2 linked regions of the Danio rerio genome follow. The protein of the gene in region 1 purifies or fractionates together with the protein of each later gene. This does not show direct contact. Links are inferred from orthologs where the notes say so. Each region holds a gene or a part of one and is shown in the gene's direction. Other genes may lie near its edges.

The links.
Region 2: the proteins of wwc1 (region 1) and amot purify together in Homo sapiens (affinity purification with mass spectrometry; 3 studies listed by BioGRID and IntAct, with this or other methods). This does not show direct contact. The link is inferred for Danio rerio from reciprocal best matches to the Homo sapiens genes WWC1 and AMOT.

Annotation. Positions count from the first base shown.
Region 1 is NC_133196.1:40,241,623-40,245,896, reverse strand, and holds the start of wwc1 (protein KIBRA), read left to right. Parts: upstream 1-1,405; 5' UTR 1,406-2,231; coding exon 2,232-2,350; intron 2,351-4,274. UniProt on the Homo sapiens protein: Regulator of the Hippo signaling pathway, also known as the Salvador-Warts-Hippo (SWH) pathway.
Region 2 is NC_133196.1:41,208,534-41,212,365, forward strand, and holds part of amot (angiomotin), read left to right. Parts: intron 1-1,827; coding exon 1,828-1,943; 3' UTR 1,944-3,832.

The DNA of each region.
Region 1 (4,274 bases):
TTTAACCTACCCAATTGACAGCAGGTTTGCTATTCAATTAACTTCAGCTCCTTTGCAACTATAACTGTATCTTGACATTTCTTGCTATTAATATACTGGATTGAGTCTATATACAAATAAAAATCTATTATGGAAACCTTAAAACAAGGTTTAGAGTTATTCAATCTACATTTATGAACATGAAATTTACCGAATAAAATCAAAAGATCCATTATGAATTCCACAGATAAATAGTTTGAGACAAAATAAAATTTAACATATTTGGGGGTCAAATTACATCTAAAACCTGATTTTTTATTTATTTATTTTTTGGGTGGTGGGGGGAAATACAACGATAAGTTTTCCCAAAAGTTCTTAAAACATTGACAATCATAAAAAAAGATGAACCAAAGATTTAAACAGAATGAGCAATTTTCATCAGTCTGCATAAATTTCGATATTGTTTAATTGCTAACATTAATGTTGTGAAGTATTTTTAAATGTAGTTGCCTCTGTTTATTACTTATGCAAAAGTGAAAAGGAAGCAACCAAGCTTTTCCCCACACAATATCTTCAAAACAAACATTCCAAAAACATTTTCCTCTAGGTTTTAAGGCTCTGTTTAAAAAAAAGTGTGCACATACCACAACTTCCACGCTTTAAGAGCTTGTTGATAAAAATTGGACAGGTAGTTTATTAACAGAGTAGTCACATGATAGTAAAAACCTCCAACCTTTTTGAAAATATTATGTGGAATAAAAAACCAAAATGAATCTGATTTCAATAAACAATTCCTAAGCCATTTAACTTTATTATTTAATGTATCATTTAAGTAAAAAAAAAAAAAAAAAATCCAAAAGTTCAAATCCTCCATCTTTTACTTGGACCTTGAAGAATTTCCTTTCTTAAATGATGATGCTTATTTCTCCAAAAAAATTGTATATATATATATATATATATATATTTTTTTTTTTTTTTTTTTACAAATAGCGTCTTGAACAAAAAGAGATAAAGTCGTGTAAACAAATCTAGAAAACAAATCTCTTTGTTTTGTCAACAAAACTCTGCCAATAATAGATAAATCCTTTTGAAGCCAGTTATTTATTATACCTTGAGCTTTTATAAATTTGTTTGTTTGTTTGTTCGCTTTATTTATAGAGCACATTTAAAAACAACAGATGTTGACCAAAGTGCTTTACAAAACAACCAGCAAACAAAATCTATACCTATATATAAAAATTAAGCAAAATATATAAAACAGATTAAAATTAATTAATTACAATCAAAGGCAAGAGACAGAAATCTTGTCTCTGATAAACTTTTTGTGATATCTATTCCTAAATACTTCACCTTCTTTTTAACTGGACAGCTACTAGAAGAGCTACGGCCGTCACCTGTATGACGTAATCCATTCCAACCGCAGCATAGCGACCGAGCTTGACTACGGGGGAGAACCGCACACAGCCACTTAAAGGAAAACACAACATTTGGAAACAAATGAGAAAGAAACGCGCCACTTTTTACAGAAATCTACGAAAATCCTCTGGATGTAACAGGAATGCATCGGCCAAACGACAGGATACGGAATACGTTTGTGTGGCGTGTCTAACAGTTTGCGTTGCTGTACAACGAGCTTTTGGGGCTAACAGGCTAGCATAGTTGTCGCTAAAACATGGTGGGCAGACACTGAGCGAAAAACCTTCCAGACTCACTCAACTATTCCCAGAGTATGCTGGAAAAATTACTCGGTTTCTATGTGTTATGTTTGGAAGATTATTTTTGGACTTTAAAATAGTTTTTTGTCCATGTTGAAAACTCGCGCACGACCTTTGAAAGTTTTTTTCCTTCATTTTTGACGTTAACCATCCAAGTTCCGTGGGTGAAAAAATATGATTGATTGATGTAGTACGTACTTAACTGAGAATGCACAAGAAACGAGGAGTTTCTTACAAAAAGCACAACTCCTTCGGCAAAGTTACGCGATTCAGAGCATCACCCTCTCATCCATTCATTTAAGTTAACAGCGTGAACGCAATGCTCTGTATATAGGCTGCACGAGCTCTACTGGAATATAGGAAGACATTACCATGGATAATCCGGAATACATCTCTACCTGTGGTTAATTAATGGCACTTTTCTTACGCTTTGGAGTTAACTTATTTGGACCAGTCCAAGCAAAGCAACACATGGTTTGCTTACCAATCATTTTAGAAGACTTGCAGAGAAAATTACATGGAGACTAAGTGTTGGTCATGCCAAGGAAGGAGTTACCATTGCCAGAGGGTTGGGAAGAGGCCCGAGATTTTGACGGGAAGGTCTATTATATAGACCATATTAATCAAACCACCAGTTGGATTGACCCAAGGGATAGGTATGTGATGAGTACTGCTCGTTCTGGGAATATAAACTTGCTTACTCAGTATACAGAAACATGCTGTGTTCATTACTCATGTGTACAGCTGTGAATCGGTCAATGTGTTCTTATTTAAAGAGAGAGGAGGTCTTAAAATGAACATTTGCTTTTAACGCAGCCTCTGACTGAACAAGATGTAGATTACTTTTTAATTTGGAGTAATAAAGAAAAGCTTTAGCCGAAACTGTTGTTATTGGGAAAGTCATGACTTGTCATGAAAACATAAACAGTCAAAACTAAACTAATATTTATGACAAAGTTTTTTTTTTAAAGTGAAACCACGTCTGTGCAAAAAACAAACAAACAAAAAGAAACATATTCACAAAAATGTATTCAAATTGTTCACCCAAAATTAAAAAAATACACCCATGGTTTAATTGAGGTAAAGTTGGTTTTATATTTGCACACGCTGAGTTTCTCCTTGATTAATATAATTTCAGAAAATTATTGTTTGCAAATTCTGAATAGGGAAATCATATTAGCAGCCAATGACTATCAAAGCACAACACTGTTCAGAGTCAGTTAAATGGTGCTAAAGTCAGAATTATTTGGCCCCCTTTAAATTTTTATTTCTTTTTTTAATGTTTCCTAAAGGATGTTTAATAGAGCAAGGACATTTTCAAAGTTTTTCTGATGTTTTTTTTTACTTCTGGAGAAAGTCTGATTTGTTTGATTTCAGCTAGAATAAAAGCTGTTTTTAATTTTTTGAAAGCCATTTTAAGGTCAAAATGATTAGCCCCTTTTGAGCTATTTGTGTTTTTAATAGTCTACAGACCACCATTATTTAACTATATCTTTTGCTATTTACCCAACCTGCATAGTTAACCTTATTAACCCAGTTAAGCATTTAAATGTCTTTAAGCTGTATAGAAGTGTCTTGAAAAATATCTAGTACAATATTATTTACTGTCATCATGGCAAAGATAAAATAAATCAGCTATTAGAAAAGAGTTATTAAAACTATTATGATTAGAAATGTGTTGACAAAAAATCTTCTGTCTGTTAAACAGAAATTGAGGAAAAAATAAACAAGGGGGCTAATAATTCTGACTTCAGTTGTACATGCGATTTTATACTGAATAATCAAAGTACACATGGTAAACAGTATAGGGAGCATATCACAAGTTGTCACTGAACGAATATGCAAATATAAAACCAACTTTTTCATGGTTTTTCCTCACCCTCAACTTCAAGTCATCATCTGTAAATATGTTTTTCTTTTGTCAGACAAACACAGTTAGTGTAGTTTTACATTTTGGGTAATGGCAAGGGCTGCACAATATTAGGAAAAATATAACGATATTTAATTTTTCTCTGATAAATATTGCGAAATGAATGCTTTTTCACAAGATGTTTTGAATAGTATTATTTGACATTTTTCTTGGGAGTCAAATACAGAAATTGAATAACCGGAATGCTAAAAAAATGTTTTTCTTACTTTGTCTTGTTTCTAGTCCAAATATCTAAAAATCTTTGATCAATTTAAAATATTGTTTTGTTTTCACCTTCAGAAAAAAATACTAATAAAAAATCACTAAAACAAGCTGATTTATCTGTAAATGGGGCAAGTAGAATAATCTTATTTTTGCTTTGAAATGTAGACATTTGGACTAGAAATAAGACAAAAATTACAAGTAGGAACCTTGCATAAAATCGCATAAATAATGAATTACAAATGATCTTTGTTACACCTCCAACAGCATTATTTCTTGTGCGCAAAGTTTTAAACTCTTGTAATGCTCACAGTCACAGGTTTTAAAAACACATGCAAATGATAAACTTTTACTCTATATTGGTGAAACTTAGCAGTGACTAGGGCTGTACGATTAAATCGAAATCGAATCGCAATTTGAAACATTGTGATTAGTTATTCGCAAGAGGC
Region 2 (3,832 bases), about 970 kb from region 1:
ATGTAACTACACGTCGCAACGACGCGTAGCGCAAGCTCTGTGATTAGTCTGCTTGGTAGCGCTGACGAGTCTGGGCGGGACCGAGAGCCGCGTGAATGGTGCGAGCCTGATGGAGCGATTGTTTACAAGTGTGGAGTCCCGTGAAGGAGCTCCGAATGGAAAGTTTTGTTTTGTGTTTACCTCATAGTTAAAGTTGTTGCACGTCCGCCGGTTCCTACCTCAAAATGAGCGAGTTTGAGCCACTTGTACATCCCGGAAGTGTTCAGGAAAAGCAAAAAAGCAGCAAAGAAACTCGATACAGAGGATCAAAAACACCTCACTGCCAATTAGCATTTCGAAAGTGTTAATGCAGACCAACAGAGACAGCCCGCAGAAGTATAAATGCACAGCCACGCGCGTTGCATGCACCGTGAGTTACGCCAATCACTTAACGCAGAAGTATAAATCAGGCTTAAGACGGAGCAGCAGTGTTTTTGAATGAAATAAGCCTCTTCAGTATTTCCAAAACACTCTGTTTTCGTCGCTCAAACTCCGGCATAGTGTGGACGGACGGCGTAACTGTAGCAAGACATATGCGTTTTAGAATGAAAACAGCCTCTCCAGCGTTTTCAAAACGCTCCATTTTCCGTGCTTGAAAACTCCGGCGTAGTCTGGACGCATAGTGTAACCATAGAAAAAATGTTGCGTTTTAAAACTAAAACGTATTAGTGTAAACGGGGCCATAGTGTAAAAGCCTGTGCACACCGTAATGATTTTTCACTTGTGCATAACAACATGTAACACCTTATGACTAAACAAAGAGTGCCAATGTGAGCCACAAATAAAACAGCAAGTATAAAAGTGTCATTTAAACAAAATTCAAACATTTATTTGGTTTGGCACACCACATTAAAAACTGGTCAACCAATAAAATTGGAGTTTTTGTTCGTGTGCCTGAAACAGCAGAATTATAATAAACACAACTTGGTGGCACTAAAACATAAACCTCTGTGAGCTGACTGTGTCACTTTGAGTATTTGTTTTTCCATTAAAGGCTGATTTATACTTCTGCGTCAAATGCACGCGTATGCTACGTGGCCGTCGGCGTCGCTGACGTGCACCTCTCAAAAAATGTAACTACATGTCTCAACGACGCGTAGCGCAAGCTCTGTGATTGGTCGGCTTGGTAGCGCTTACGAGTCTGGGCGGGACTGAGAGCCGCGCGAATTGTTTACAAGTGTGGAGTCCCGTAAAGGAGCTCCAGATGGAAAGTTTTGTTTTGTGTTTACCTCATAGTTAAAGTTGTTGCACGTCTGCCGGTTCCTACCTCAAAATGAGAGAGTTTGAGCCACTTGTACATTCAGGAAGTGTTCAGGAAAAGCAAAACACCAGCGAAGAAAATCGACACAGAGGAACGTTTACTGCCATCTAGCGTTTCGGAAGTGTTAATGCAGACCAACAGAGACAGCGCACAGAAGTATAAATGCACAGCCACGCACGTTGCATGCGCTGTGGGTTACGCCGGTCACTTGACGCAGAAGTATAAACCAGGCTTAAGTGTCATCTAACAATGAGTTTGCACATTCACTTTGCTGATGATAAAATCATGAGTGAAAATCATCAGTGCGCATGAGCCCTAACTATTCAATCAACCATGGAGAAACATTTATTAATTGCATGTACCTACTGTATAATCTGGCTTAGAATGCAGATTAGTGGGATGTAACTATGCTGAATCTAATTGTAATAACTATAGTAAGTACACAATTTATGTATCAAGAGCACCATATAACATCTTTACCTTGGCTGCTATTGGTCATTGATGTTTATGTTCTTGTATGTGCGCAGACGTGCCAGTGTTTCACAGCAGTACATTAGAGAGGAGAGCACCAGTGCAGAGTCTTCCTCCAGCATCAGTGGCAGCACAGGACATGGACAGCGACATGGTGGAAATCCTCATCTGATCATCTTTTACTGTGCAGGTGAAGAACTCCACACACTCCTCTATCATACATTTCACATCAGGATGTTTCTGAACAAACACACCGACAGCCGACTACAACACACAACAATTCATTTTTTGTACAGTATTGTCTGGTGGACTTTTTTTTTCCCAGACCTTCGGACCAAATTATAATTGTAATTCTTTTTTTTTTTTTTACATTTATTGCACTACTTTTGTTTATTTGGGTATGCAATTTGTCTGTATTTACGAATAATACAAATGTGGCACTTGAGTATCTAACAAAATGGTGACTAGCCGAACAGTTGTTACGTGTAAATACTGTATCCGAATACTGTAAAACTGAATGTCATAGGGCTTTTTTTATAATAAATTGTTGGGTGCAGCACGTTTTGAAGAGCAATGGACCACCAGAAGTTCACATGTGTGTCCAGAAGCTCACGTTTCTGTATGTGAAAGTGTGAAAGTATGAGTGACCCAACTGGTTTTGGGTTGGTCTGAATGAGATTCTCTAGTTTTTCCAATCTGAACTGTAGATTCCTGTAAAGCTCTGACACATAGGACATTTCAGTTTGTTTTCCACAATTCCTCTTGTCCTTTGTAAAAGACAAAATGGCTTCTTCTCCCAGTCTTATAATTGCGTTTGACCAAAGGAATCCATTTAAAAGGACACATTATGTTTTAGAGCAGGGTCTAACCTAATTCAAGATTTCACACGCATAAATGAGAAGTTCTTTCCATGAAATCAGTGAACATCTATGAAACCCTCAGATTTCATGGCTTTCATAATCTCAAGTGCTTTATAGTTTTCAGAGTTTTTCCCAAACGGCCACTGGATGCAAGTTTGCGGGTGGTTTTCGGCTTGACGTCAATGTGACGTCTGTTGGAATCGTGTGTGTTCATCTGGAACGTGTCACATATAAAGTGTTTGCACATCTGATCAACGTTCCTGTAATGTTCCCAGACAGACGCCATATCAACATTCAGCTGATTTACCTCCTGAATTGATGTGTTTGTCAGGTGCTTCTGCACACAGAGCTCTCGTAGGGGCTGTTTGCTGGCCTTTAGTATTCGTCGTTTACGTACAGACGAACGTGCAAGTTTACGCATTTTAAAGCAGGTCATCATTTCAAAGAAAAGCATCAGATTGATTAAAATAGCGTTTACACAGCTGTTCACAACATTGAGGCCAGTAGGAATGTTTTTAAACAACATGCTCACAGGGTCTGCGTTTAGATCATCACAAATACAGTCAGTGACATCATGAAATATTTCAGAAAATTAATACAAATTTAAATGATTATTTTCTATGAATCAAAGCTGAATGTTCTGCATTATGTTAGTTTCCGCAGTTAATGTTACATATAAATGCATCAAACTACATATGATGCTAACAACTTATTTAAATAGTATTTTGGTCCCACTTTATATTAAGTGGCCCTAACTAATATATACTTACTTACATAGAAATTAATAGTTTGTTACAATGTACTTATTGTGTAAATACATGTATTTACTGTGTACTTATGCTTGATTAATACATGTATGTAATTACATCTGTAATTAACTTTTGTAATTACATTTGTTAATACACTGTTGACCATCCCTTACACCTTAACCCACCCTTAAACCTACCCATGCCACCAAACCTGTCTATAACCCAACCTCTATCCCAAAAGCACCACAAGTGTTCTCAAATACATTATAAACACAGTAAGTACATTGTATTTATTTTTTTGATGTAAGTACATAGTAGTTAAGGACACTTAATATAAAGTGGGACCAGTATTTTAAATAGTTTCGAGTAGGATTGCCAAAATTTTTGACTTTACCAATCGATAATAAAATTTAAAAAATGACCATTTCATGCATACCGTCTGCTGAGCATGA